Astyanax mexicanus: one gene and its partners. The protein of the gene in region 2 purifies or fractionates together with the protein of the main gene of each other region. This does not show direct contact. Links are inferred from orthologs where the notes say so. Each region holds a gene or a part of one and is shown on either strand. Other genes may lie near its edges. The genes, in order: usp39, cd2bp2, sart1 and dhx38.

Region 1 (7,811 bases), on a different chromosome or scaffold from region 2:
GTCTAGTGAAACTGTCTGAAACTGTGAGTGTCTGTCAGTTTGATACAAAGGAAAATGTGCACTGACCTAACGTTCCATGGCGTGCCTACCAGAGGCAGATTTTATGTGCAAAACATAACTTATTGCATAAACATATCTATGTGCAATAGTAATATGACAAAAGTTGAATGAATTTTCTTCTGATGAAATAGAATGTATTTATGTATTTCGTAACATTGCAATAGATATTTCAGACAATCAATATACTGCAATGCAAGCAAAAAAGGCTCAAATCTAAATGTTTTCAGTGTAAACAAACAAGTCCTTCCTGTCCTTCATTTGTCAATGCTTCCAGAGGACACTGTACTCAAATCACATCTAGCAAAGTAACTGATCATTACTGGGCCAAGACATGTGGTATCTTCTACAGTACATTACAGTAGTGTTTGATAGTAAAAACTACCTGAACATTTGACCTTCATTATAATAAATAAACATTTATGTTAATGAACGATCGGCACCCTTCATCTCAGATGTGCTAACAAGACTGAATATTGGAAGGTAATACCTGTAGAACTACGTTGGCGTAGTCATTAGCCTTGATGTTGTTGAGTCCCACAATGCCAGGCAGGTAAGTTGTGCCATCGTAAGCCCTGTACAGTTTGCCCTGCTTGTCCAAACTGGAGATGTGCTGTTTGGTAAACGTTGGCTTCAGAACATACTGAAGACAGAAACACTTCATTAATATTCTGATAGAAATATACAGAAATAAACTAAACAAAAATAACAATTACTGAGAAAATTATGCCAAAAAAGCCACAGTACAGGTATGCGATACACGCCCTCTACGCTAACATGGTCATTAAGCATAATTCCATCTTTAAGCTTACATTTCTTACAATTGACAAAATCAGTAATTATTTTTCTTTATTTAATATTTTAAAGCTGTCTTCAAAAGAGGAGTCACATGAACTAGAATTTTAGTTAATGGGACTCCTCTTTTGAAGACAGCTTTAAAAAATTAAATAAAGAAAAATAATTTACTACTTTTTTGCAACCTTGCAACAGATTAATGTATCGAACTATATATGTATATCTCGGATTTCCAGATTGTTAATGGTTAATATATGTAGGTTTTTTTTTTTAAAGAAGTAATTAGGTGGTAAGGCTTGCTAGAGTGTGTCAGTGTGATATCAAAAAGAGAAATAATCAATTTGACTCTTTCACATGAAGGTGTGTCACACAGCAAAATTATCACAGATTTCCTTCAGCTTCCTTTTATTTCTGTCTATAAATAAAGGTTAGTCTACAGATACAGGAATCACCAGCATAAACTCTTGTGCCCATACTGCTGTATGACGCACCCACACGTGAAGGGGAGTCAGATTTCAGGTGTTTTTTTCCTTCTTCTGTTGCTGCCTGAACCAGATTCAGGTTTATGTTTAGTTGATCCAAACCTCTTTTTGTCAAAGCAAATACTGGTCTGTTGGAGTAGGCTTTGAAGCATCTGCTATTTTGCTTCTGTCCAAACTGAATAGTCCAATGTTCAGAACCAAACAAGGTAGATGTGAAAGCACCCTTAATCTCAACTCACTGTGATGTCCTCCAGCGATGAATCAATGATCTCGTAATTGTCTGGTAGACAGTAGAACTTCAGTGTATGCAGATTTAGAAAGACATGATGTGTGAACTGAACACTGTGGGTGTATGCATGGGACTTCAGGCCCCTCCCTATAACACACACACACACACACACACACACACACACACACTATTTTACATCTAATGATCCGAGTTTTGGACCACTGCAAGTGGCTTTAATTGACACTTGCGTTAAAGAGTTAGATGCTGCTGTTTTGACCACTGTGCCTTGTAGGCTTTTCTATAAACCAGCAGCCAAACCATCCACCTCAGACATGGCAAGATGAAGAATTAAAACTGAAATGGGCCAAACACTCATTTCACACTAAATTTACAAAGATTAACAACAAAACGTTCTGTATTTTACGCTCCATAACAAAAACTTCATTGTCTCAAAAAAAAAATGACTTACCTTGGAAATACTTTCCACAGATCAGACAGGCATAAACATTTATGTGAGAGAGAGAGATTGAGCACAGCTTTTCGAAGTCAAAATCCAAAACGCTCCTAAATAATAAAGAAAAACGAAATTGCTTAGAACCGTACCCTCCTTTTACTTCATATAGAAATTAACACAATTTATGCCAATTAATACATCCTCTATCCCAACCTGTTGATTGTGTCAAGGTATGGACAGTGGCGGCTCCTTCTGTCTGGAACTTTCCCCCGGACCTCTGAAAATCAGGCATTGATAAAATTCTTATGAAAAAAAATTACTCCCACAAACACCACCACCCCACCACAATGTCCACCACCACCCCCACCATGTCCCCAGCAAAGCTTCAGATATTCAGATGTTTTACACACATATGCTGGTGAAAGGCTAGTTAGTTAGTTGACTAACGCTAGCTAACCTAGGTTACATGCTTTAGTTTAGGATCAGTAGAAAAGTAACAGCCACTTGTTTACATGCTTTGGTGACCAACTAGTTAGCTAGCTAATTAGCTATGTTAGCTAGAGAACTAGCTTTATAGCTAAATGAAGATGTTGGTGGATTATCTGTAATTCTGGATTTAACAGTAAAAGGAAAATCCTGTAATATCAGTCTCACTGATGTTGGTTTTAATAAAAAAACTGAATTAGATTAAAGCCGCTCAGAAGGTGTGCAGGAGGCGCGTGCACTGCTGGTTAGCCTGCCGGTTAGCGGTTAGCTCAGCTAGGCGGTGTGTTCTGCTGCTACTGTTTGTAAAGTAAAGCGGTTCTGCCTTTAGAGGTTCCTCTACTTTACCTTCCTCCTCCTCATCCTCAGCATCCCGCTCCCGCTTCACTCCAGCCATAGCGCTGTTTAATTAAGCCCGCGGAGTTTAAATCCTATGAGGGGTCAGAGCACGGACTGCTCAAACTAAACACAAACTCCCAGCAGCCCCCGCGCGCCCCGCCGGAACTACTCTCACACCCCACCGGAAACAACCCACCGATCAGCACTGTAAAAATAATCCTGATTCTGATACAGTTAAAACTGATTTATTTAAAAAGTGGGCAGCAAAATCCAATATATACAAATACGTATCTTTTACCGCACAGCCTTTTATTCAAAAATAACATAACTTTTCTCCCATGTGAATACTATAAATATTTTCTTAAAAGCAATATTGTCATATAGTACCAATTGGTTTTATGTAATATTAAATTTTATGAAACACTGATTTTGGGTGTTTCATTGGCAGTAAGCCATAATCATCAACAATAAAAAAAATAATAATAAACACTTATGGATGTGTAATACATCTATATAATATATGAGTTTCACATTTTAAACTGAACCATTGGATTGCATTCCAATGTTCATTTTAAATGTTAAAACCATCACCCACATACTTTTTTGCATCCTTTATGCACCCCTTAACTTATTCTTTGTAATGTTCAAACGCTTGTGTTTCTCTTGACCTGTTGCTCACACTGTGCTGCTGTTATGTTGTTGCTGTTCTACTGTTCTAAAAATGATAAATTAGTCTTTTGAGGTAATTCTTTCCACAAGTCCTAAAGTGTCTATTTATATGATTCGAGATCTGGAAGGTTCATTCACATTGTTTTCAGATTAGGCGAGATAAAAAATGAACGCAGAGGGTAAGACGCCTCCTTCACTGTTATTATTTAGTAAATGAGTTTTGTTATCAGCCTTATAGCAGAAAAAGACTAAGACTAATGCGCACCACCTGCGCAATCTAGCCCTCAGGTTACTATACTATAGTGTTTGTTTAATATAACATTGTTTTAATAATTTATATATAATGAATAATTCATATATATATATATATATATATATATATATATATATATATATATATATATATATATATATATATATATATATAGATATATATATATAGATATAGTTAGAGGGCGCTGAGTATGCGGGGGGGGGGGGGGGGGCTGTTGAACAGTAGGCGGCAGCAGCGCTGAACAGAGCTCAGTCCGCCTCAGCGCTACAGGAAGAAGAGGATGCAGGCAGTGAGAGGTCTGTGTGTGGGGGGAATGCGCGCGTGTTCTCCGCTTAATCTTTAAATTATGGAGGTTCTGCAGGATGCTGAGGGGGAAGCTCTCAAATATAAACCCGGGGGCCGCTTAGACATGAGCCACGGGTTCCTGCATCACATCCGGAGGAATCAGATCGCGAGGTAAGAGTCGGAGCTGCCAGGCTAACAGTCCGCTAGCGCAGCGCAGCGAGCCGCCGCTACTGATCCTTACGGTGGCCGAGAAAGCCCAACGCAGTGCAACTTGAAAAGCGCTGCAAAAGCACAAAACACATCCATCAAAATTACAACACAGGCGCAGCAACTAGAAACACGCGCTGCAACTAGAAAAACGCGCTGCAAATAGAACCACAACACAACGGAAGTGAGTCACAACACAACGGAATTTTCCCGGGGGACCTTAAAAGATACTGTACCAGCTAAGCTGCGTCTTCAGTAACGTCTCGGACTTCACTATGTGTACAAAGGACAATAAGTGGCAAACAAGGCGTTTTGTGAAGCAGAACTTTTAATAATATGCACACAACCGTGGTAATCACAGGTAATAAACATAACTTACTTTTCAGAAGCTTGTTTGCCACTTACTGTCCTTTGTATACAGCTGGTACAGCATCTTTTAAGGTCTCCCGGGAAAATTCCGTTGTGTTGTGACTCACTTCCGTTGTGTTGTGGTTCTATTTGCAGCGCGTTTTTCTATTTGCTGCGCCTGTGTTGTAATTTTGATTGATGTGTTTTGTGCTTTTGCAGCGCTTTTCAATTTGCACTGCGCTGGGCTTTCTCGGCCACCGTAGGATCCTGTACTGAGAGCTTTAAACAGCTGCTGATACTAACACTGCCTCACCCCAACACTGCCTCACCCCAACACTGCCTCACCCTACACTGCCTCACCCTACACTGCCTCACCCAACACTGCCTCACCCTACACTGCCTCACCCTACACTGCCTCACCCTAACAATGACTCACCCTACACTGCCTCACCCTACACTGCCTCACCCTACACTGCCTCACCCTACACTGCCTCACCCCAACACTGCCTCACCCCAACACTGCCTCACCCCAACACTGCCTCACCCCAACACTGCCTCACCCAACACTGCCTCACCCAACACTGCCTCACCCTACACTGCCTCACCCTACACTGCCTCACCCAAACACTGCCTCACCCCAACACTGCCTCACCCTACACTGCCTCACCCCAACACTGCCTCACCCTACACTGCCTCACCCTACACTGCCTCACCCTACACTGCCTCACCCCAACACTGCCTCACCCTAACAATGACTCACCCAACGCTGCCTCACCCAACGCTGCCTCACCCAACGCTGCCTCACCCTACACTGCCTCACCCAACACTGCCTCACCCTAACAATGACTCACCCAACGCTGCCTCACCCAACGCTGCCTCACCCAACGCTGCCTCACCCTAACAATGCCTCACCCTAACAATGCCTCACCCTAACACTGCCTCACCCTAACACTGCCTCACCCTAACACTGCCTCACCCTAACACTGCCTCACCCTAACACTGCCTCACCCTAACAATGACTCACCCTACACTGCCTCACCCTACACTGCCTCACCCTACACTGCCTCACCCAACACTGCCTCACCCAACACTGCCTCACCCAACACTGCTTCACCCAACACTGCTTCACCCAACACTGCTTCACCCTTCACTGCTTCACCCTTCACTGCCTCACCCCAACACTGCCTCACACTAACAATGACTCACTAACACTGCCTCACCCTAACAATGACTCACCCAACAATTGCCTCACCCCAACAATTGCCTCACCCCAACAATTGCCTCACCCCAACAATTGCCTCACCCCAACAATTGCCTCACCCCAACAATTGCCTCACCCTACACTGCCTCACCCTACACTGCCTCACCCTACACTGCCTCACCCTACACTGCCTCACCCTAACACTGCCTCACCCTAACACTGCCTCACCCTAACACTGCCTCACCCTAAGACTGCCTCACCCTAAGACTGCCTCACTGTAACACTGACTCACTAACACTGACTCACTAACACTGACTCACTAACACTGCCTCACCTCAACACTGCCTCACTTACAGGTTGTAATGTTTGTGTGTTTTTAAAGGGATGATTATGATAAGGAGGTGAAACAGGCTAAAGAGCAACAGAAGCGCAGACACACCACCGCCCCGCGTCGCCCCCGGAGACCCGACCGAGAGGTCTACCACCCCCGCCTCCGGAGTAAGAGCTCAACCCCTAAGCGTTTACTGATGCATCATTTCTCTCTTTTTATTTTGGTTCAGATACATTGTTAGGAGCGTGTGCGGTTTGTCATGAAAATTCCGGTATCTGATAATTATTTATTATCAGATTTATTATTAAGTGTGTCTTATAAAACTGGAAACTGGATTTATCTGAAACAGAAAAAGAGGTTATTAAACAGAACTGTGAACACTGCTTCTTAATTAGAGTATTTACTTTTATTTGTTTTATTTGTTTATGTTTGCATATATTAAAAATATATATAATATTGATATATAATAGTATGCACTTAATATTCTGCACGTTCATTTTGCTGCAGATTTTTATTTTTGTTATACACTGCTCAAAAAAATAAAGGGAACACTCAAACACAATATAACTCCAAGTAAATCAAACTTCTGTGAAATTAAACTGTCCACTTAGGAAGCAACACTGATTGACAATCAATTTCACCTGCTGTTGTGCAAATGGAATAGACAACAGGTGGAAATTATTGGCAATTAGCAAGACATACTCAATAAAGGAGTGGTTCTGCAGGTGGGGACCACAGACCACTTCTCAGAACCTATGCTGTCTGGCTGATGTTTTGGTCAGTTTTGAATGTTGGTGGTGCTTTCACACTCGTGGTAGCATGAGACGGACTCTACAACCCACACAAGTGGCTCAGGTAGTGCAGCTCATCCAGGATGGCACATCAATGCGAGCTGTGGCAAGAAGGTTTGCTGTTTCTGTCAGCGTAGTGTCCAGAGGCTGGAGGCGCTACCAGGGGACAGGCCAGTACACCAGGAGACGTGGAGGAGGCCGTAGGAGGGCAACAACCCAGCAGCAGGACCGCTACCTCCGCCTTTGTGCAAGAAGGAACAGGAGGAGCACTGCCAGAGCCCTGCAAAATGACCTCCAGCAGGCCACAAATGTGCATGTGTCTGCACAAACGGTTAGAAACCGACTCCATGAGGATGGTATGAGGGCCCGACATCCACAGATGGGGGTTGTGCTCACAGCCCAACACAGGACGCTTGGCATTTGCCAGAGAACACCAGGATTGGCAAATTCGCCACTGGCGCCTTGTGCTCTTCACAGATGAAAGCAGGTTCACACTGAGCACATGACAGACGTGACAGAGTCTGGAGACGCCATGGAGAGCGGTCTGCTGCCTGCAACATCCTTCAGCATGACCGGTTTGGCAGTGGGTCAGTAATGGTGTGGGGTGGCATTTCTTTGGAGGGCCGCACAGCCCTCCATGTGCTCACCAGAGGTAGCCTGACTGCCATTAGGTACCGAGATGAGATCCTCAGACCCCCTGTGAGACCGTATGCTGGTGCGGTTGGCCCTGGGTTCCTCCTAATGCAGGACAATGCTAGACCTCATGTGGCTGGAGTGTGTCAGCAGTTCCTGCAAGATGAAGGCATTGAAGCTATGGACTGGCCCGCCCGTTCCCCAGACCTGAATCCGATTGAGCACATCTGGGA
Region 2 (7,348 bases):
CTCTATCAACTGTGGCACTTCTGGAACGTCTTTGTCTGTTCACAACTTGGGGTAGTCAATAGAGCATAAGATTATACACTACATGAACACAAGTATCAAAACACCTCCTAATTTATTGCTTCTTCTATATTTTAAGCATTGCAGTTAAGATATGATTCATATATGCACTTAGAATCAAGAGAATTATTGATCTCCCATTATAAAGTTACTTTTTTATTATTACAGTTAGTAGTAGTAGAGGAAGTAATTAGAATCTGTACAACACCCAACAAGTGTCTGAATAGAATTATGACAGTATGTCCTCAGCTCACTTCCCACACTGACACACCAGTAAACACACGTGAAAAAGAGAACATATTAAGAGAGAGAGTGGACACACCCTGACAGGCACAACACCTACCTTCAACATCATCACTGGCGAGAATATTATATTTGTCGCCATTTTCTGCCTCATCACCCTCGTCTTCCTCATCACTGTCCAGAGAGTGTTTCTCCTTGAACCTGGAGCCTGGACCACTCACCTCATCATACATCTGCACAAAAACAGACAGAGTATCAATTAGATTATATGTACACTTTGTGGCTGTTAAATGTGACTTCTACCCCTACAGACTACTACTGTCCACACACTCAATAAATCAGTCAGATTCTAACCTCTACAACATGAGCAAGACCAAAGAGCTTCCTAAGGATGTCAGGGACAAGATCATAGCCCTGCACATGGCTGGAATGAGCTACAATACCTTAAGTAAGATGATGGGTGAGAACGAGACAGCTATTGGTGCAATAGTCAATCGACATTGTTCGGGGCTCCAAGCAAAATCTCACCTTGTGTGGTATTCAGGAGGATGGTGAAAAATCAGCCTAAAACTACACGGGGGAACTTGTTAATGATTTCAAGGCAGCAGGGATCACAGTCACCAACAATACCATTGGTAAAACATTATGCTGTAATGTTGCAGTGCCCGAAAAGTCCCACTGGTCAAGAAGGCACCTGTGGATGATTCATAGGCCATGGCTGGGTCTTGCAGCCCAACAATGACCCAAAACATACAGCCAAGGCAACAAGGTCATGGAGTGCCCTAGCCAATTCCAAAGAAAACTTATGGAGGGAGCTGAAGCTCCAATTTGCCAAGCAACAGCATCAAAATCTTAATAATTTAGAGATGATCCGCAAAGAGGACGGGACTAAAATTCCTCCTGACATGTGTGCAAACTTCATCAATAACTACAAAAAATGTCTGACTGCTGTGCTTGCCAACAAGTGTTTTGCCACCAAGTATTAAGTCTTGTTTGCCAGAGGGATCAAATACTTATTTCTCTCTGCAAAATGCAAATACATTTGTATAATGTGATTTCTGGATTTTATTTTTTATTTATATTCTATCTTTTACTGTTAAAATTATAGACCGTTCATGTATTTATCAGTGGGCTTACGAACTTACGAAATCAGCAATTGATCAAATAATTATTTCCTTCACTGTATTCACATATACTGTGTATCTGCCTACTAAGCCTACAACATTTAGCCCTGCCTTCTTTTTACACAAGTCTATCCCAACCATTCTTTATCCCATAAATAAATGCATACAGATGGCAAAAGACGATCAGCAACTACAAACAGACCTCAATATACAACTTAAAGAGGGTGATGATTTGCTTAGATGATTCGTCTGATTTACTTGTCGAACTGTTGCCATTTCATACAGGATTGATGGACAAGTATAAACATACCTTCTTCTTTGGAACTTCATCATCCAAACTGAACTCTCCATCTCCATCCTCAAATGTGACTTTTCTTTTTGACATTCTGGAATAAAGTTTAAGAGAGATTTCAAGAGTATGTTATACACATAATACAGTAACATTAGACAAAATACATTAATAATCAATACAAAGATTGCTGTATTCCCAGTTTCTATCCAACCCCTTGTTTATCTAACTAGTCCTTCATTAAAGTAAATCAGATGAGTTGCTGGAGAAACTCCATACAAGTCCATACAGTGTCTGATCACTGACTTTATGTTTCTTAGGTTGACTCTAATACTATATAGATTTAATTACAGGTAGATATTCTAATGAACACTGACTATGTTTATTGAGTTTACTCTAATACTATATATAGAGTTAATTACAGGTCACTGTTCACAGACTTTATGTTTATCTGAGTTTATTCTATTGTTATATAGTTTTATTTACAGGTAGACACTCTCACTGACCACTGACTTTATGTTTATTTGAGTTTTTTTAATGTTATATAATTTTATTTACAGGTAGACACTCACTAAATACTGACTGTTTATTTAGGTATATTCTAATGTTATATATAGATAATTATAGATAGAAACTTATAATGACCACTGCCTTTGTTTATTTGGGTTTATTCTTATGTTATATAGAGTTTTACAGGTAGACACACTCACTGACTTTATGTTTATTTGGGTTTAGTATTCTAATATTATACAGAGTTTTACATGTAGACTCTCTTACTGTTCACTTGCTTTATGTTTATTTGGGTTTATTCTAATGTTTTAATGAGTTTATTACAGAAAGACATTGTCACAATCAACTAACTTTATATGTATTGGGTTTATTAGATATATGGATTATATATCTAGCTGTATTGTTACAGGTAGACACTCTCTCTGTACGCTGTAACAGTTTGCAGTAACGTCATTGTTTTCAGTGCTGATATTAATAAGATCAGTAATGAGAGTGTAGGTAAGTGTGTGAGTGATTAGCAGCCTATGCTAAGCTACAGTCACTGAGTGGCCTGTGTTTGCAGGATTAGAGGATATTTAGACTTTTTAGAAGTCACAATTTAGAAGTTGTGGTCTGCGGACAGTAAACACATTTCAGCAGTGTGCAGGTCCCTCGTTTGTTAAAGCGGAGGGTAAATCTGATGTTTATAGTGGAGAAATCGAGCTGTTTACCTTTATGCTGTGGCTGATTTTCCCTCTGCGCCATTCAACTGCAGGACGGAAACACCGCCTCCTTCAGCTGAGAGCCGTTTATCACAGCGCCGCCTGCTGGAGACACCGCGCAACCACCACTTACACTGTTATACAGCTCTGAAACTTCTGAATCAGTTTCTATGATTTTGCTAGGTATATAGATTTGAGTAAAATGAACATTGTGGTTTAATTTTATAAACCACGGACAACATTTCTCCCAAATTCCAAATGAAAATATTGTCATTTTGAGCATTTTTTCTTCGCAGAAAATCACATTTTTCGTGCATCATGTCATGTTCTTCTTCACCAGTCTTAAACACTGCTTTTGGATAACTTTATGTCACTCCTGGTGCAAAAATTCAAGCAGTTCAGCTTGTTTTGATGGCTTGTGATCATCCATCTTCCTCTTGATTATATTCCAGAGGTTTTCAATTTGGTAAAATCAAAGAAAAACATCATCATTAGGTGGTCTCTTATTTTTTTTCCAGAGCTGTATAGGGTTTAGATTACAGTTTACAGCTTTTTGATGCAGTTCTTCAGAATTAATATTTGCACCACAGTGTGGCCATTTCTCAAAACAGTTTGTACAAACAGTCACACATAATAGATAAGCAGCTAATGATTTAATTTCACTCAGTTCATGACCCAGAGGTAAGTATTTATATCAGTGAGCATGTTAGAGACAGAATGAACATTTCTTTAGTCATTGATTACAAACAAGACAGTCTAAATGATTAGATCTTTCAGTTTACTCTGTAAGGGTTTACTCAATGCTAATGTTTTGGTGTCAGATTGAAAAATTATTTAAAAATTCTGCACTTTTTCCTGTGAATCGTAAATCAGTTTTAGCAGTACAACATACACTACTGTTTAAGAGAGCCTTACTGCAAGAAATTGGACATTTTTTCACCTTTATTATTTTACTGTTTACTCAGTTATTTATTGATAGATCATCTTGTTGTTCCACAGAACAGACAGACAAGACTGTCAGTACATTGTGTTTAATCAGGTTAAATCCTGCTTCATCCATTTGTTTTGAATGTTGAATGTTTTGCTTCATTCCAGTTTCGTTATGTTGCATTCCAGAATTTACAACATGACATGAATTATATTTTAAATTTTATATTTTGGGAAAATCACTAGAATGTGCTTAGTGTCCAAATGCTATTAGCATAGCCGCCATTTAGCTATTTTTCATGTTTTTGCTAATTCTATGCCAAAAACTCAGTCCTTTTACTTTCATTCCTGTTACTTTTTATGTTTTGAGTGACAGGAATGAAAGTAACAGGAGCGAGTTCCAGTAACAGGAATGAGTGCCATTAACAGGAGTGATTTTTTTGTCTATTATATTAAAAATTCAATTATTTACTACAGAATTTGATAGAGAGGAGTTTTTGAAAAGCTCATTCTTATTTCTCATAGGCAAAAACCCTTTAGACACAGAACCCCGAATCTGGGCATACGAGGATTACAGTACAGAATGACACAGGACTGCAGTGGTCTAATGGACTGGAGCTATTTCACAAAGCTGCAGTACACGCCAGCCACCACTGGGCGGAAGCATTTTACCTCAGATCACTTTTAAAATCGCGAAGTCTAGAGGTCAGTTTGTATAAATTATACACGGTGTTATTTGATGTAGAAACAGTAAGTGCTTCTGTAGAAAAGCTATTTATATTTTAACATAATTAAAACGTTATTTTAAGAATAACCACTTATTGAGCCACACATTTAATCAATTATATAATATTCTCCTCCACAGCAGTGCTCTCTCCCACAGACAGTGATGTGAGAAGGCTGAGTGTCATATTCTGAGGTAAATAACACGTTTCTCTACAAATAAAACTGCAATATTCTACAGTGATTATGGTTTATGATATTAAAATACAAATGCCAAATAAGTAATACAAAATTAAAAGACACTTGCAGTTCCAGGGGCAGTCTCAGTCTGGTGTTACTGCATAGATATGCTGCATAGTTACATCTTTTATTTTGAAATAAAAATCACACTAATGGCATTACTAACTGGCATTTTTTTCCTAATATTTCACTGTTTCTTTTAGCTATAATTCTTTTTTTTTTTCATTTAACTCATTATTACTCATATTAAGAGTTTAGGAGGAGTCTCTGTAACTTACTTTATTCTTAATAAAATGTGAAAAATAGAATACAACTAGAATAAATAATATTTAGATAAGGTCTGCAGTTCTTTGGATGTTGTTGTGGGGTCTTTATGTGACCTCTTGCATGAGTTGTCGCTGCACTCTTGCAGTAATTTTGGCTGGCTGGCACTTGTGGAAAGGTTCACCACTGTTCCACGTTTTTGCCATTTGTGGATAACGGTTCCCACTGTGGTTCACTGGAGTCCCAAAACTTTGAAAATGGCTTTATGAACTTTTACAGACTGATAGATCTCAATTACTTTCTCAATTGTTCCTGAATTTATTTGGATCACGGCATGATGTGTAGCTTTTGAGTATATTTTGGTCTACTTCACTTTGTCAGACAGGTTCTATTTAAGTGATTTCTTAATTGAGAATGGTGAGTATGGTGGTAATCAAGCCTGGGTGTGGCTAGAGAAACTACTAACAATATGGAAAAATTTAAAGAAACATTCCTAAAACTAAAAATGCTGACACAAGTTTGCAGCGATGTTACCAGAACATTTAAATAAAAAAAAATGTTCTAAGAACATTCTGAAAACTTGACAGATTGAACGTTCTAAGAACATTAACTATAACCATTTTTTTGAGCTGCGATGGACCATAGACTTATATGCGGTCTGTATGAACACATAACTTTTTCACTTGGGAGTCAAACAAACCTGTTACAGTGGGTATTTTGCGCTCTGAAATTCTCTGATATGACTCTATGGATCTGCCATAAAATGTAAAAACTGTGATTACTGCCAATTTGACAAGCAAAGTCTCTGAGCTCTGTGGGCCACACCCTCACTACTAAGATCTTGTGACAAATTGTATTCAAAGGGGCTTGACTTATATGTCTCAGACTTAAAGGAGAAATCTGGTGTAAAATTGACTAGGGGTGTAATGAAACATGATAACAAGTACAAACTTTTTTGTTGAATATTCCACCTCCATTCTCTCCAGCATTTCGAAATACAGCACTTTTAGGCTTACAATGTTAGCAATAGGGTAACAGTGTTGGCCAGATAAAGAAATCGCTATTTTTGCACCATTAACAAGCTCAAATTAGCTCAAAACTTGATTAATAAAATTCTGATGGCCCTGTTATTTAAAAGTAAGCATTGAGACTTCAAAAAAAGGGCACTGATTGTTTAATAAAAAAAAACACTGTTTGTACACACAGTACAGTGATGTAGTTTTCTGGGCGTTGCCATCTTAAAATGAAGTCATGCAACATGTTGCAAAATTAATTCTGTGGAAATGCATGAATTTTAGCTGTTGCTGGAAATATTTCTATATAATATCCACTGACTTTATTTTGCAGTCTGTTGCAATGTGTTACTTTTGTTACAATTGACTAAAGTTAATGGTCTGATCTGTTACTCCAAATGACCAGAGTTTTATTGTAAATAAAAGAAGTGTTTCCGGAATCCTTGCTCAGCTTGTTTCAGGGTGGTATGTTCTCACTTTGTTTCTGTTTCACCAGGTTTATTGTACTTTCGCTGCACCTCTCCCAGAAACACCATGCTACAAATGCAGACCTGCATTTGCTGGTAGCTGGTTTCAGATGGTCTGAGATGGTGTTTGAAAGCTGTTCCTCCAGGGGAAACATACCCTAAATTAACCAGCTTGTGAGTGGCATAGTGAATGATGCATTCAATTATGGTCATGCTTGGTTCTGCTTGTCATGATGGTTGATCAACTTCAGTCATACTGGTCAAGTTATTGGCCATTAACCAGCTAAACCATCAAACCCAAACAAAAAAATACTCTGTGCTGGTCAAGAACTAAATTGGTCAATCAGCTTGACCAGCTTGAGCTGGCATTTTTGGATTTGTAAAGTCTGGAAATGTCTATAAACGTGGATGGAGATACTGCAGTTGTTCTTCAGATCTCCTCACCCAATACTTCATACCTAATCAACAGACCTCAGCCGCTACTCCCTGTAAATTAGCCAGTATGGACAGACGCAGAGGTACGAAAGATAAGATTGCTTTATTCACAGATTCTCTCTTTTTATTGGTTACAGAAGAGTTGGTGACAGAGCAAAGCGAAGCCCAGGTGAGGACAGCACAAAATACATGGGGAACAGAGGAGTGGAGAGGGGGAGAGAAGACGGAAATGGGTTCTTTCTGTCGCCGCTCTCCATTCCTCTTCAGGGTTTTCATCTTTCTCTCTTTCTCCCTCAGTGAAAAGTCTGCCATCACTTTTAGGAGGCGGAGCTTTCTCATGGTGCCATTCCTTTTC
Region 3 (7,982 bases), on a different chromosome or scaffold from region 2:
CCACATTCTTCTCAGCTTTCTCTTTGTCCACCAGACCCACATTCACCAGCACATCTTCATTTTCATCCAAAACACCTGCAACAAGAACATACAGTGAGCAAGCCACAGGTGCAGGTAAAGCAGATGCATTGCTGAAAAGCCAACAGAGCACAAACCTTTGTCTTGCAGTGTCAAAATTACAGTCTCCCCCTCTTTAAAGGATTCCATTTTGTGCTGTACTGAGAGACCTTTAAGGTCTCTAGAACTGTAAGCGTCCTACAAAAAAAAAAGACTTTTAGTAATCAGAAAATGTATTATATAACATTTAAAGTTTCTGTTTGATATATGATTAACCACTGCGGAAAGTGTATGAAGTCTACCTTCTTAGTCTGAGCGAACTCCTGTTCCACAAGGTTACTCACACCAAACTCTTCATCCATTTCTTCAAGAAGTTTGGCCTATGAAAATCATATGCTCATTACAATAAAAACAAAAATATATTAAACAAAGACATAATATTACAATAAAAACCACAACGTGTATATCACCAGTACATTTTTTGCTGTGCGTTTGCCTCAACAAAGAAGACACGAATGAAACGATTCTGCAGAAGCTGTAGAACCCTGTCTACTACTTACTCTCTTTTCTGCCAACTCCTTTTCCTTAGCCTGTTTGCGACTTCTTTCCACCCAGGCAGCAGTATCATCCAACCAAGGTTCATCCTCTCCAAGTGTCTTAACCTTGCTAAAATGGGAGACAATGATTAAGGTCAATTTGAGTAATGATACACAAGGCTTCAAGAGACAAAAACTCTATAGAAGTACAGTCCTATGGTGTATAAATGAAAAAGCATAATGAGGATTGTACCCAAGTTTCTGATTAAGCAGACGCTTCTGTTTGAGTGCAGCCAGTTTCTCCCTAATCTCTGCCTGCTGTTTGATCTGTACAGGGTTGATAGTCTCAGCTAGCAGGGGCTCTTCTTTTGTGCCCAGTTCTGCAATCAGAAATATTTAACATGAGAAAAAAAGAAGAGAAAGAATATTTGGTAGCATAAGTCCTGTTAGACACCGATTTCTCACCTTTTTTATTCTCATTTAGCTCAAGAGGCTTCAGACCAAGTTTGGCCCTCAATTTACTGAAAAGGGAAAACAAGAATTGGTTGGATAAGTTCCAAAATCAATTCTGATGCAAAACCTTGATAGACAGTCTGCAAAGCACTTTATTAGCATACTTGGTCTCTTCAATGCTGAGTGAAGCATCTCCACCCGCAGACTTTGGAGCCATATCTGCAAAGGAACAGACAAAAAAAAAAAGTTTAAATCAGGTACAGGCACTATAAAAAATGGGTGCATCACTACACATATTTTAATGTATTAACAAAATCACATTTTAATGAAACTTTGTTTAAAACACTTACTAACTTACAAAACAGTAATGCTGGACTACAAACATATAAACTGGTGATGCTCACAAGTCACTGTAACGATTCATTTCCAACAAAGGATCCATGAAAAGTTAGTCTTTTAATCATCAAGAATTACCTGGCCTAACAGACAGAAGTGAAAGCCCAGAACCACAGGGGTAAGGAATCACTTTAACCACACTACATTGCAGAATTGCATTTACAATGGCACCTAAAACGTTAGTGTAGAAAATAAAATCCTATGTTAACCATGTCCAGAAATGCCATTGCCTTCTCTGCGCTCAACTGTCTTTTTAAAACATTTTAATCACAAAAAAAACTAGAAATATTGGGATTTTATTTTAGGGCCATCAGGGGCAATTGTTTTGCTGTTTGTAGCAAAAGGAAAATTCCCACTGTTCTCATTTCCTATTAAATATTTAATAGAGACAGATTATATGTATCTGTCCAGCATTTTTTTTTACTCCAGTCCTGGATATATGGGGTGCATTACTAGTATTAATAGTATCATGTTGGATCATTGATTTCTGTTCAAATCTGGTGAAAATCTCAATTAGGACTAATAAGACTAAATATTTATTTTTATGAACTAGTATATTGAGTATTTTTTAATTAAATGTCACATTACCAAGAACAACCCCTACATAAAAAACATGTACTGGATGAGCCTTCTGGCAGTGCTGACCTGTCCTAAAAAGTGTGTGAAACTTTAAATCAATCAATGGTAATGCCAATTTCTTGATTACTGTTTGATAAGTTGTTGATTTTTGGATTTTGGCCAATATTGGACAGAAATCTAAATTCTTCTAACACTAACCAACAGTCAGTGGCAGTAAACAGGTCACCAGCTCACCTTCAGCCTCTTCAAAAGCTGGATCAAGTTTCTCCTTCTTTACACGAGTCTCTCCACTGCTCTTCTCTCCTTTACTGCGGCTCTCCTTCTCTCCCCGGCTGCTTCTCTCTCTGGAGCGGGACCTTTTCCTTTTCTTCTCCTCCTTTTCTCGAGTTCCATCTCTCTCCTTGTCCCGTTCTCTGTCCTTATGTCTGTGTTTCTTGTGTTCTCGGTGTCGGTCCTCTGCGTCCCGCTCCTTATCCTTCTCCTTGTGTTTCTTAGATGAGCCCATATCTGAGAGTATTAGTTAGTTAGCTAGATAACCTAATTAGCTAGGTTATCTAACTGTGTTAATTAGCTAACCTATGCGTAAACAAACCTGTTTAAAGACCCGACACTAAAGCAAACAACGCAAATAACTAACAGGTACTAGTTAGACTTGGGTTAGAAAGTATTAAAACGACACCAAAAATAACACGCTTAGCTAGCTAGCCTGCTAACAACATAGCTAACGCTAGCTAGCAAGCTAACCTAGCTAACATAGATACACTCCCTCCCAGCACGGTTTGTGTATATTAACGCTAAATAGAACATAAACAGAGCGGCTAGCTATACTCTACCGCCTGTACAACATATTTATCACACTCTTTAAACACCTAAAGTCCTGTAAACACGCGAAAAGGAGCGCTCACTAAACCAGCGAGGCCCAAATAAACACCAGCCACCATCCAATCGTTCTGCAGGCGTTCTGATAAACCGTCCCAAACTTCTTCCGAGTCAAACCTAACGCTCACTGCCGCCTGCAGGCGAGGAGGCTCTATATTCCAGCTCTGTGCCCTGAAGGATCCCTGATTCAAGATTCAAGATTCAAAATACAGTATTTATTGTCACGTCACAGAATACAGGTGAGTAAAAAAAACTTGTGTGCAGGTTCCTATTAGCATGTAAAGAACAAGATTTACTTGAAATATTTACTAAGTATTTATTTGCAGTGTAGATATACGTTAATATGAATGGATATACAAGTATACACTGATATATACATGTGCTGATATCTGAGTGTGTATGTGAAAGTGCAGAGATAGTATGTGACAGAGTAATTATGACTAAAGTGCAGGTACAGAATGAGTTGATTGGGAAGTACAGGGTGGAGAATGCTGTATAATAGGATAAGTATGGGAAAGTTAGAAAGATGCAATGTGATGTAAAGTGAAGTAAAGTTCAGGGTCAAAAAGTTTGTATAAGATGGCAGTGGCAAGTTGGGCAAAACACTGTTCCACAGCCTGGTCGCCTGGGGGAAGAAGCTGTGAGAATGGGTGGGAGGGGTCCTTCGTGATCCTTCTAGACTTTCTTAGGCAGTGGTTGGTGTATAAATCTAAAAGCATTGTGAGCTTCTGGATTTGGGGTTCCAAACGTTAATTTTTTAAAAAGATTTTGGTTGCATTACTTCTGTTAAAGTAATGATAGAAAAACAATCTTTAAACAACCCTTATTTAACATTTAACAAATTCCCACAAATCATAATTTTAATATTACTAATTATTAGTATTATGTCACTTTATACACTGAAAGACCACAGTACAGTCTACAATAACAGAATCCAAAAACTATAAATACTAGTGCATCTTAAAAATGAAAAGTTGAAATTGAAAAGTTGCTTTTTTGACAGCCATGTCATCTGCTTGTGTTGGTCCACTGTATTATATAGTCCAAAAATCAGTGCAGTTTTTTCCCCAGAAAATCTTATAGCACTTCATTCTTTCCTGATGCAGATTTCATTTTCCAGCAGAGTGGCACACTGCCACACTGCCAAAAGTACTAATTGGTCTAATATACTATTCTAGTTTTCTGAGACACCGATTTCAAATTAACAATAAAAGAAATCAACACTTAAAAAGGATCACTCTGTATGTAACACATATACACTTCTTGAGTCTAATGTACATCTTTAATTTAAGTTTAATAAAAACATACATCTAAAACCATAATTTTGAATTAACGTTAAATCAATGTAAAATTGATGTGCACAAATAAATCAATTCTGATGTTGGAGACGAATGCATTAGCAATGGAAAAAATATTGTACATAAAGAGTCCATGCTCCTAGAGAGTTTTTTTTTGAAAGGCACTTTTACTCGAGTCATAATGAGCCAACGTCCCATACAAAAATTCCAGGGTCATTGGTAAATCACCACAGGGAATGATCTGAGTTTAAACCTTGATCAATGTTTGTAGATTCACATTTAGTACCTGTGATGTACTGGCCTATTTTTTGGGGGAACAATATGAAATGTATCTACTGGGTATTAAAACGCCCTTATGGGATAATATGATGTAGGACACAATGTGACAACCAGAATTAGTGTCAGCATTTTAATCAAACAAAGTGGTAGACAACTCATTTAATGAAAGATGCTTAGCAGAAGCCTCGGTTTAAACTATTTATTATGCAGGGGTTTTTAATCTGATGCTGGTCAAGCTATTTGCATATTGGGTGTGTTCTTTTACCTCTCACTCACTATCGGTGAGTAGTCATTCTTCACAGGCTGCCTTCTCTTGGGATTCGCATGTGTTACATAATAGTTAACTGCCTGGCCTTAGCGTTAAAGTCTATAAGAGCAAGCCACTGTGTTTTGCAATTTTAATATGACTGATAATAAGACATAACAGTCATACATTCTTAGTTGCTAACTTATGTTGTGCTCTTTATATGAGTTTGATTTATGTGAAACAGGATCTTAAAGGAAAGGATACAAAGTGAATTTATAAGTTGGTGAGACTTAATTTCTAAAGCTTTATGCATATAAAAATCAATTATCTGAACTAATGATTTTTAGTTGGCACAACTGTGTCTTTTCTTTGAGTTGGCCTCAAAACTAAAAAAAATTAGTGCAGTAAATTGCCTTCCCTAACTTGTAGAATAGACTGATACTGCAGTGGCAAAATCTGCACTTTTCTCTACAGAGCAGGAGGACAAACAGCCTTGTGTTTGAGCTTTATATTGCTCAGTGTGTTTTCACTAACTACACATAGCAACTTAAATTATTCTTCCAAAGATAACTGTTATACACCATTTTATTTACATTTTGCAGCTTATTCAACAGTACATTGACCAGTGGTTCTTATTTCCTGTATATACATACCTCTTTTTTAATATATAGAAGGGTTCAATCAATTCTTAAACAGTTTTCCCAACAGTGAACTTAAACAGTGAACAGTAAGCATAAGAAAAAGTTATACAAGACACATCAAACTTAGTTTTTATTGTCTTTAATACATTCAATCATTTAACATAAAACCAAAGTGATTACTAGATTAGAGGCAAACAGCTGCAGGCATCTTCATTGGGTGAATGAAATCGCCAAGGTGTGGTTTGGCTAAAGGTTTTGTAGGTTGTGGTAGGATCTCAGTAATTCCGACAGTGGTGCTTCCGGAGAGCAAACTACATGAGCAAACAATAATGGAAATAATTCTGGGTCTTGTGGAGCTGACTGAGTGCATGGGAAAAATTAGGCAGAAAAACTTTCCTAAAGATTCATTTTACTGTTTTAAGGCATAAACTTAATTTAATTAATTTTAAAGAAAGATAAAAAAAATACACTGTTTAAAGTCATGCTGTTAGGATTAAGGATCACAAATCAACCCAAGAAACCAACCCAGCCTCTGGATAGTGAGTTACAATTGAAACTGAAAATGATTCCCAACACAAAGAAACCTTGAAAACACTTTCCAAAGAACAGACATCCACTGAAAGGTCTTAGCTGCAAAATATGTTCAGTTAGTTGTAAAATATATCAAACAGCAGGTTTATGTACTTTAAAAATATAAGTCATTTTAAAGAAGACACTTTGTAGAATGTATTTAAACTCATGAGAAAAAGCTTAACTATAATTCAGCTTTAACAAGGAATTGTTTAACCAGTGTTTGTATTATTTATTTGAATGTGCTTTAGCTGCTAAGCTAAAGCTAGATGCTAACCTCTCTCACAGTTACAGGCTAACTTAAATGCAAGTCTACTCTTCTCCACCCAAGGTTGGTTTGTCAAATTAATATTTTCACTTCATTTACCTACTCCATACATATGTACTCCAGCGCCAGCATTTCAGCTACAGAAACAAATGAGTTTTCAAGTTATCAGCTGACTTTATAGTCCCTGGATAAATTGGAGCATGCCCATTGTGGACCAAATGGGTTGGTCCAGGTTAGAGGGAGGCACAAAGTAATTTAACATTATATACTTAAATTTGCAATTTCAGTGTATTCTGTTTTATTTTTTTCTTTGTTCTGTCTACATTTTAAATTTAAATATATACAAGTGTATGAAAAATTGTTATGAGTGTTCCTGTCCCCATCAAATGGTTTGGTCCAGGTCTTTTGAACCAGCATAGGGATACAAAAAAAATAGACAGTTTCTACAGATAAAGTCTTGGCCAATCAGTGGCCAATCAGTGGTCAAACAACCAGTTCTGCTTTATAGACGACAACAGCAAAACAATCAAAACAGCAGACTAAACTCTTTTTTCCAGATCACTCCATATTACAATAATAATAATAACAGTAAATAACCATGATGACTCTTTGAAAAATATGTGGGAGACATTATTGTCCTGTACCAACATTTAGCATTAATAGTTAAAGTTCCTGGGATTGTTGCATCGGTCGGTGACTCGCCAAGGAAAGCAAATTGCAATTGTGCTGATGTGATGGTCTGACTAAATTAATTTCATGTCATGTTCCCCAACTAAGCAAATGTTGATCTTACTATTAAAAACGTGCTAGTTTGCATAAACAAAAGAAACAATTTATACAAGACACAGAGCATTTACAAAAACATTTATTTTATTTATTTAGTACATGGCATTATTCCAGAACTTTTTAAAACTAAATTTCTCAATAAATATAAGCAACAGAAAACAATTAAACAAAAGTGATTACTAGATAACAGACCAAAGGTTTTAGGTATCTTCATGCAATGCATTGCTTTCAGTGATTAGCTAATTACAAGCTGCATGGTCTACACATTCAGAAGAAAAACAGGAGTGGCCAATCTTTTCTGCAAAAGGTCCATATGGATGCAGGGTTTCATTTCAGTAAAGCAGAAGCATGTGTAATCAGTTTTTGAATGACTGAAGACTTAATTAAAACAAGTGGATTTAGGTGAGCTAATTGTTGTGTAGAATGAAAACCTGCTACTACATTAACCCTTTATAAATAAGTGTGTGTGAATTGGATCAGATCTGAATGCTTATAAATTACCCTAATTTATTTTGATAGTTGACAGTTTTTACTAACTTGAGTAAGTATTGATTTAAGGTCCCTTTCATGTCAAGGTTTGCATTCCACCATTTAGCCAAATGTCACCAGACTCCAATCAGACCAAAAGCTTGTGAACACAGCTCTACCTGTTAGATATATTTGTATTACACCATTTATCCAAATGTTTTTCAGACTTTAACACTAGCATGAAATATAGCTACATCTTAGCAACCATATAGCAACCACTGTAGCAAAATGTTTGCAACACCTCTGCAATTACACTCTCTGTGTTTTTTATATATCTGGCAAGCTTTCTGGAAGTTCTTAGAATGTTTTTATTAAACGATACATCTGTGCGTCAGGACATGCAAATCTGATCTGATCACTTGCAAATAACAGTCATCCCAACTGATTTGATTTGGGAAACAAATCCAAATTTCCTACAGTCTGAACAAAGCCTTTATTTTTAAAGTAATGTAAAAATATTTAATT
Region 4 (7,017 bases), on a different chromosome or scaffold from region 2:
CCAAGGCCTGGTAAAGGGGATAAAAAGGTTTGTGTGGAATTGTGTTATACTATTAGATTAACTTCATCAAATAACAACAATAATATTATCACAATTATTTCTGGGACAATATATTGTCTAAACAAAAATAGGTATCATAAAATCATATAAGAAAAATATAGTAGGGCCAGAGTCAAATCAAATCAAGTTTACTTTCATATCTTCTAAGTAAGGATGTAAAGGTGAGTGAAAAGCTTTGGGGCATGACCGCACTTGGTACACAGAAAGAACACAAAGTACCAGTCTATTTAGCACTCATTTAATGTTTTTTTAATTATTTTATTATTAATATTTTCTACATTGTAGATTAATGATGAATACATCAAAACTATAAAGGAATGCATATGCAATTAGGCCCGTCACAATAATTACTCAATCGACTTATCGTTCAATAAATGGACGTGACCTCAATCATTTTAATAATCGTGATATCGTCCATTGTGTTTGCACTTACATATATTGTGACTGTGAGTGTGACCTGGTAATGCGGAAGCACAGAGAGACACAGACACAGGGAGTGAATGAACTCAAATTGTACCTTTATTAGGAAAAATGTCCTCCATCAACACCCAAAACAAACTTAATGAAACATAGAAACACCCAGTACGGCTCTAGTCGCTTAACTTTAGTGTCTCTTTATGTTGGTCCAACGTGGGCCAGCTGGGGCAGACCGGGGCTGCACGTCAACCCACAGCTCCCCTGCCTCCACATTTCACAATGTGTATATGTATATATATGTTGAAGAACCTACTATAAGCTACTTTGGTTCAGGCTGGGAACTTTTCGGGTTCCAAAATTAGGCGTGTGAACAGGAATGGAAAGTTTAACGTCTTTAAAAGGGTGCAATTCTTTTATGATATTATGTTATCATTACTATCGTTTTTCACAATCATTTCTGACAACATAATGTTCACAAAAAAAGTTATTGTGCCAGGCCTATATGCGATTATGAAAAACTTGAAGAACTTAAACAAGCCTAAATATGTTTTATACTTTAGGTGATTCAAAGTAGCACTGTTTGCTTTGATGCCAACTTAGTCCCTCTTCACTTCATGATTTTTGATTTATTCATAATCATCCATGCTGCTATAGGGAGTCAGAATTCAGCACAACCTGTAAAGATAACTCACCGTATTAACAACATTCACATGAAGATTTGTGCTAACTCTGGTCTAGACTTCCCGGTGTGAAAAAGGACTTGAAATAGTGAGAAGAAGAAAAAAAAAAAAAAAGAGGTGAAGGAGGTGTGTGGGACGGAGGGGTGTTACTAACCTTATTTAAAAAGCTGGTGTGAAGAACCCATTGGTCTCTTGCATAATATCTCAGTGCCTGTCTGAGAAACACAAAGCAAAGTCAGAACTTCATTAAAATATGACCAAATTAATGAACAAATAAAAGCTGTGTTCTAATATTCTGACATGAGTGCATCATTACTAACAGGTTTACTACAAATTCAATTTATACTAATCTTAATGCTGAAAAGTAGAACACCAATGACCCAGCCTTTTTCTGTGGACATAAATATATACTGTTTTAATATATATTCAATGTAATATATATTTTATTTATATATTTAAATATATAACTCGAAATAAAACATTTTTTTCCCTTTTTTAACCCTAGTATGTTAATTTGTTTGCTCTTGCACATTAAAATCCTGTCCTTTTAACTACTTAAATATACATAAATACATTTGAAAACATAACTTAAAAATGTAAAGGATTCAGCCACAGCTGTTTTAAATCAGGTGTGTTTAAAATGAGGTAACTAGCTACTGCAACATAATGAATCTTAATATGTATAATATATATTTTTAGTATACAATGTTTTATACACTCTTTTTATACAAAATAATAAGTCTAATAAAAGTTAAAAATGAAACAAAACTAGAGTAATGCATCAACAAAAGATGAGGTAACTAGCTAACCTAGCTAGTTAATCCATAATATTTTAACGGCAATTAAAGCATACTAAAACTATTTCTTTAACTAAAAAAGGCTGTTTTAAATCAGATGTGTTTGGAAAGGTAACTAACTAGCTAACCTAGCTGGCCAGGTTATATTATTTAACTGGAATTCTCTCAAACAAATTATTTTATTCAAGTGTACACTACTGCAAAAAAATAAATACTAATATAAAATATACTTTTAGTAATGTTTTATACAGACAGTAGAAATAAATCCCAACATTTGTAAATGTTTGTCTTTTAATTAAACAGTAAATTAGTGGTTCCAAGGTCTTTATTATTTATTTGGAGATAAAACGTTTTTCACTATAAAAAGCCAAAACAGTTTTAAATCAGGTCTGTTTGAAATGAGGTAACGAGCTAACCAACCTAGCTAGTTAGGTTATATTAATTTAATTTGAATTATCTTATACTAACTTATAATATCCTCCTTTTTCCGTGTTAATTTACTGGTTAAATACACAAATAAAATGTATCTAGTCTAGTTAGCTAACCTAAATAGCTAGGTTAGGTTAAACTAATTTAACGAGAATGTTTGCTACCGTTAGCTAACAGAACCATGAGCCAAAAGCCACAAAACACTGTAATATTACAGCTATTTTCCTACATTTAAACCCCATTATCTGCTAACTCGGATACGCTGTAATAGACTAGAATAATTAGAGAATAATTAATTGAGCGAATCTCAGTCTGTAATCAGGTAACTTTACTGAACTCAGTAACGTTACAGCTGAGTGAGCGGAGCAGCTAACGCTAACAAACACAGAACAAACACACACACAGCGGCTAAAACCGCGGATTAAACCCCGAAGAAAGCCCTTATCCGCCCACCTCTCACACTAATACACTCCGGGATATACAGCAGGTCTCAGCGCGGCGGGTAAAATCAGAAATAAGACACTAAATGAAGATATTTACCCTAAAAACACCAAGCTAACCGCGTCCAACCTGCGTACAGCGGACCGCCATCGCTATCCCATAATACAAGAAGCGGAAAACACGACACTTCACAATAAGAGTCTCGAGAGCAGTTCAAAAAAATGAATGGGTCTCTATAGAGCTGAGCAAAATCTGAGTTTAATAATATAAATATTTAATTATTTAATAACTAACTGATAAATGTATCACAACATCTATGTATCTAGTTACATGAATTAATGGGCTCTTATTAAGCATTCGAACAAAATCATGTTTTTTATATATACATGTTTAATCATTTTTATACTGAAAAATGTATCTACTTATCTACATATCTATTTATCTTTAAAAAAATGAATGGATTCTTTTGGAGCGACCGAGCAATTCCAGAGTTTATAAATATAAATCTTTAATAATTTAATAATTATCTGATAAATATATACACATATATACATAAAATGAATGGCTTCCTTTGGAGCAACTGAACAAAATCAGTGTATGAATTGAAATGTTTAATAATTTAATAGTTAACTAATAAATGTATTTACATATCTATTTATCTACATAAAATGAATGGGCTGCTGGGAAACAATTGAGCACAAAGTTTTATCAAAGGTTTATAAATGTTTAATCATTATAACATGTACTTTAACATATTAACATGTATATTTAAAATGTTTCAACTTATCTACATATATATATATATATATATATATATATATATATATACATATATATATACATATATATATATATATATATATATATATATGTATATATATATATATACATATATATATATATATATATATATATATATGTATATATATATATATATATATATATATATATATATATATATATATATATATATATATATATTAACTACATAATATTACATTGTTCTCATAAAAAATGAGAAAATTAAAGTTTATAAAAAGTTTAATAATTTTAAATGTGAAAAATGTGTAAATTCATCTAATTATCTACATACATTAATGGGCTTTTATGAAGCATTCAGGGAAACTCAGATTATTCAATTAAATCAGTTTATACACATTTAACAATTTTCATATCAAAAATGTATCTACTTATCTAGATGAAATTAATGGCTTCCTACGGAGCAACTGATCTAAACCAGAGTGTGTAAAATTACATTTTTAATAATTAAATAATTAACTGATAAATGTATTTACATATCTATTTATCTAGATAAAATGAGTTGGTTCAATAAAACAAAACCATAGTTTAAGAAATACAAATGTTTAATAATTTAATAATCAACTGATAAATGTATCTATTTTTTTACATAAATTATGGATTCTTATAAAGCACTTGAGCAAAATCAGAGTTTATACATGTTTAATAATTTTCATACTAAAAATTGTATCTACATATCTCCATATCTATTTATCTACATGAAATTAATTGGTTCCTATAGAGCATTCAGCAGAGTTTATAAATATATGTTTAATAATTTAATAATGAACTATATGAAATATATCTACATGAAATATGAAATATATCTACATATTTATTTATCTAATCATTTATAAATGTTCAACAATTTTCATAATGGAAATTGTATCTATGTATCTATTTATCTACATAAAAAATGAGCAAGTTCCTATTAAGAAACAAAAATAAATAGATCTTTCCATTTTAACACTGTAGAGGGCACTTTAGAACATTTTGATCACAATATTATTTAATTAAATATATCAGGCATATAATTTCATGTCTGTGAAGGCTTCATCAATAATGTATCCAAAATTTAGACCAAACACACAGAGTCAGAGTTCATTTTCTTCCGCTGTATTTTAAAGAAACGTACAGCTTCTCTCAAATCAAGACAATTTAAAATATATCGGACAGCCAGGAAGATGTACACAATGTTCACACAGAGCAAAGCAGTGCTGTGGTGGAACTGCACACAGGAGCAATCACGTATTTACACTTTAAAATGAGGCGGAATGATTTATGAATGATTTATTATTAAATACTCAGCTGATGATCAGAGACTACAATCTGAGAGGAGATCACAAAGTACCAGAATCTTAATTTGCTCTTATCACACTCATTATTACACTGTGCTCAAAACCTACAGCCAATAATATATTATACACTCATTCACCAAAAAATAATACAGACCTGCAAAACAGACTCAGGCTACTTTGTATATATATATATATATATATATATATATATATATATATATATATATATACCACTTAAAAATGATGAGTTTCTTTGATTTTACCAAATTGAAAAATCTCTGGAATATAATCAAGAGGAAGATGGATGATCACAAGCCATCATACCAAACTGAACTGCTTGAATTTTTGCACCAGGCGTAAAGGCATAAAGTTATCTAAAAGCAGTGTGTAAGACTGGTGGAGGAGAACATGATGCCACGATGCATGAAAACACAGTTCCACCTAATATTGATTTCTGAACTCTTAAAACTTTGCATTATTTGAGGTCTGAAAGCTCTGCCTCATTTTTTTTTATTAGAGCCATTTCTGATTTTCTGCAATAAGTGCTGTAAATGACAATATTTTTATTTGGAATTTGGGAGAAATGTTGTCTGTAGTTTATAGCATAAAACGACAATGTTCATTTTACTCAAACATAAACCTATAAATAGCAAAATCAGAGAAATTGATTCAGAAACTGAAGTGGTTTCTTTTTTTTTCAGAGCTCTATATAAAAAGGCTCTCATTTGCACTATACTCTTTTGGGTAGTGTACCTCCAGGTGAGAGATCAGACAGCTAGACACACCTCTACAATGTACTTATAGACATTTTGCACATTTGACAGACTGTAGGAGGGTATGCACCATTGGACTGAAAGAACCAGCATGCACACCATCCAGACTGTTCATCAGCATGTCACTGCTCACCAGTAGTAGTGATAAGAAGCACAATAACAGCTCATTAAAATATGCAGGGCTTTTTTTAGCAGGATAATGCTTGTTCCCACAAACTTTGGCCTGTCTGGACGCAAAATTTATTACCAATAAGGAATTTATTGGATCAGCTGGGATGCCAGGATGGACTATGAAACTGTTGAAACACCAGTCATTTTAGTGTGGGAGGTTTCATGACTAAATTGGAGCAGCCTGGTGGCCAATCTTCATTAATTGCACATTGCAGCAGTAAGAGCAATAAGAGTGTGAAGGTTCAATTAGCAGGGTAAGAGCACAGTTCTGCTCAATATATTGGAATGCACACAACATTATGGGAGACATACCAGAGTTCAAAAGAGGACAAATTGTTGGTGCACGTCTTGCTGCCGCATCTGTGACCAAGACAGCAAGACTTTGTGATGCATCAAGAGCCACGGTATCCAGGGTAATGTCAGCATACCACCAAGAAGGATCAACCACATCCAACAGGATTAACTGTGGACGCTGTAAGAGGAAGCTGTCTGAAAGGGATGTTCGGGTGCTAACCCAGATTGTATCCAAAAAACAGAAAACCACGGCTGATCAAATCACGGAAGGATCCAATGTGCACCTCAACTCTCCTGTTTCCACCAGAACTGTCCGTCACCACAATCAATTATTGTGGTCTAAAACCAGGTGTAAAATTGTAATCACTTATATACTGTATTCTTGGTGCATTATTATAATATTTTTGGTTAATGAGTGTATACAGGGTGCAATTACATGAAATCAGAGCATATTTAACAAAACATTCAACCACCCGATTGTGTAAAAAGCACTGAAAGTAAGAAAAAAAAAAGCTGCATGGGCTGAAAAGAAAAAAAGAATACAGTGAATATGCATATGAAAAGACATATAATCATTAAGAGACAAAACAAAGAACAGATCTGCATACATATAGAACAATGTCACTACTGCAGGGGAAGGCAGCTCACGGACCAAACTCTTCTGAGGCATCGAACACGTGAAACAGCACACGCTACAACTGTCGGCGGCAACGACGAGATGAAGAAAAAAAAAACGTACTGTAGAATGCATAGAATAATCTGCGTATGAAATATATATACGTATATATGAAATATAGACTTTGTGGACTGCTCACCAGTTCAAGTATTAAACACACAAAACCACAAATCAGCTTCTCCA

The links.
Region 1: the proteins of cd2bp2 (region 2) and usp39 purify together in Homo sapiens (affinity purification with mass spectrometry; 5 studies listed by BioGRID and IntAct, with this or other methods). This does not show direct contact. The link is inferred for Astyanax mexicanus from reciprocal best matches to the Homo sapiens genes CD2BP2 and USP39.
Region 3: the proteins of cd2bp2 (region 2) and sart1 purify together in Homo sapiens (affinity purification with mass spectrometry; 4 studies listed by BioGRID and IntAct, with this or other methods). This does not show direct contact. The link is inferred for Astyanax mexicanus from reciprocal best matches to the Homo sapiens genes CD2BP2 and SART1.
Region 4: the proteins of cd2bp2 (region 2) and dhx38 purify together in Homo sapiens (affinity purification with mass spectrometry; 3 studies listed by BioGRID and IntAct, counting the BioPlex papers as one, with this or other methods). This does not show direct contact. The link is inferred for Astyanax mexicanus from reciprocal best matches to the Homo sapiens genes CD2BP2 and DHX38.

The regions. Positions count from the first base shown.
Region 1 is NC_064429.1:1,324,896-1,332,706, reverse strand, and holds the start of usp39 (U4/U6.U5 tri-snRNP-associated protein 2), read right to left. Parts: upstream 3,008-7,811; 5' UTR 2,898-3,007; coding exon 2,849-2,897; intron 2,295-2,848; coding exon 2,231-2,294; intron 2,128-2,230; coding exon 2,033-2,127; intron 1,711-2,032; coding exon 1,574-1,710; intron 701-1,573; coding exon 548-700; intron 1-547. Other genes in the region: c22h2orf68 (UPF0561 protein C2orf68 homolog), read left to right, coding at 4,129-4,238, 6,206-6,321.
Region 2 is NC_064426.1:15,181,074-15,188,421, reverse strand, and holds the start of cd2bp2 (CD2 antigen cytoplasmic tail-binding protein 2), read right to left. Parts: upstream 3,016-7,348; 5' UTR 2,934-3,015; intron 1,811-2,933; 5' UTR 1,810-1,810; coding exon 1,735-1,809; intron 534-1,734; coding exon 401-533; intron 1-400. UniProt on the Homo sapiens protein: Involved in pre-mRNA splicing as component of the U5 snRNP complex that is involved in spliceosome assembly.
Region 3 is NC_064424.1:16,324,903-16,332,884, reverse strand, and holds the start of sart1 (U4/U6.U5 tri-snRNP-associated protein 1), read right to left. Parts: upstream 3,005-7,982; 5' UTR 2,527-3,004; coding exon 2,256-2,526; intron 1,266-2,255; coding exon 1,211-1,265; intron 1,115-1,210; coding exon 1,059-1,114; intron 974-1,058; coding exon 847-973; intron 724-846; coding exon 618-723; intron 438-617; coding exon 360-437; intron 256-359; coding exon 156-255; intron 76-155; coding exon 1-75. UniProt on the Homo sapiens protein: Plays a role in mRNA splicing as a component of the U4/U6-U5 tri-snRNP, one of the building blocks of the spliceosome. May also bind to DNA.
Region 4 is NC_064423.1:36,778,252-36,785,268, reverse strand, and holds the start of dhx38 (pre-mRNA-splicing factor ATP-dependent RNA helicase PRP16), read right to left. Parts: upstream 3,005-7,017; 5' UTR 2,924-3,004; exon of another isoform or gene 2,837-2,923; intron 1,373-2,836; 5' UTR 1,312-1,372; intron 1-1,311. UniProt on the Homo sapiens protein: Probable ATP-binding RNA helicase. Involved in pre-mRNA splicing as component of the spliceosome.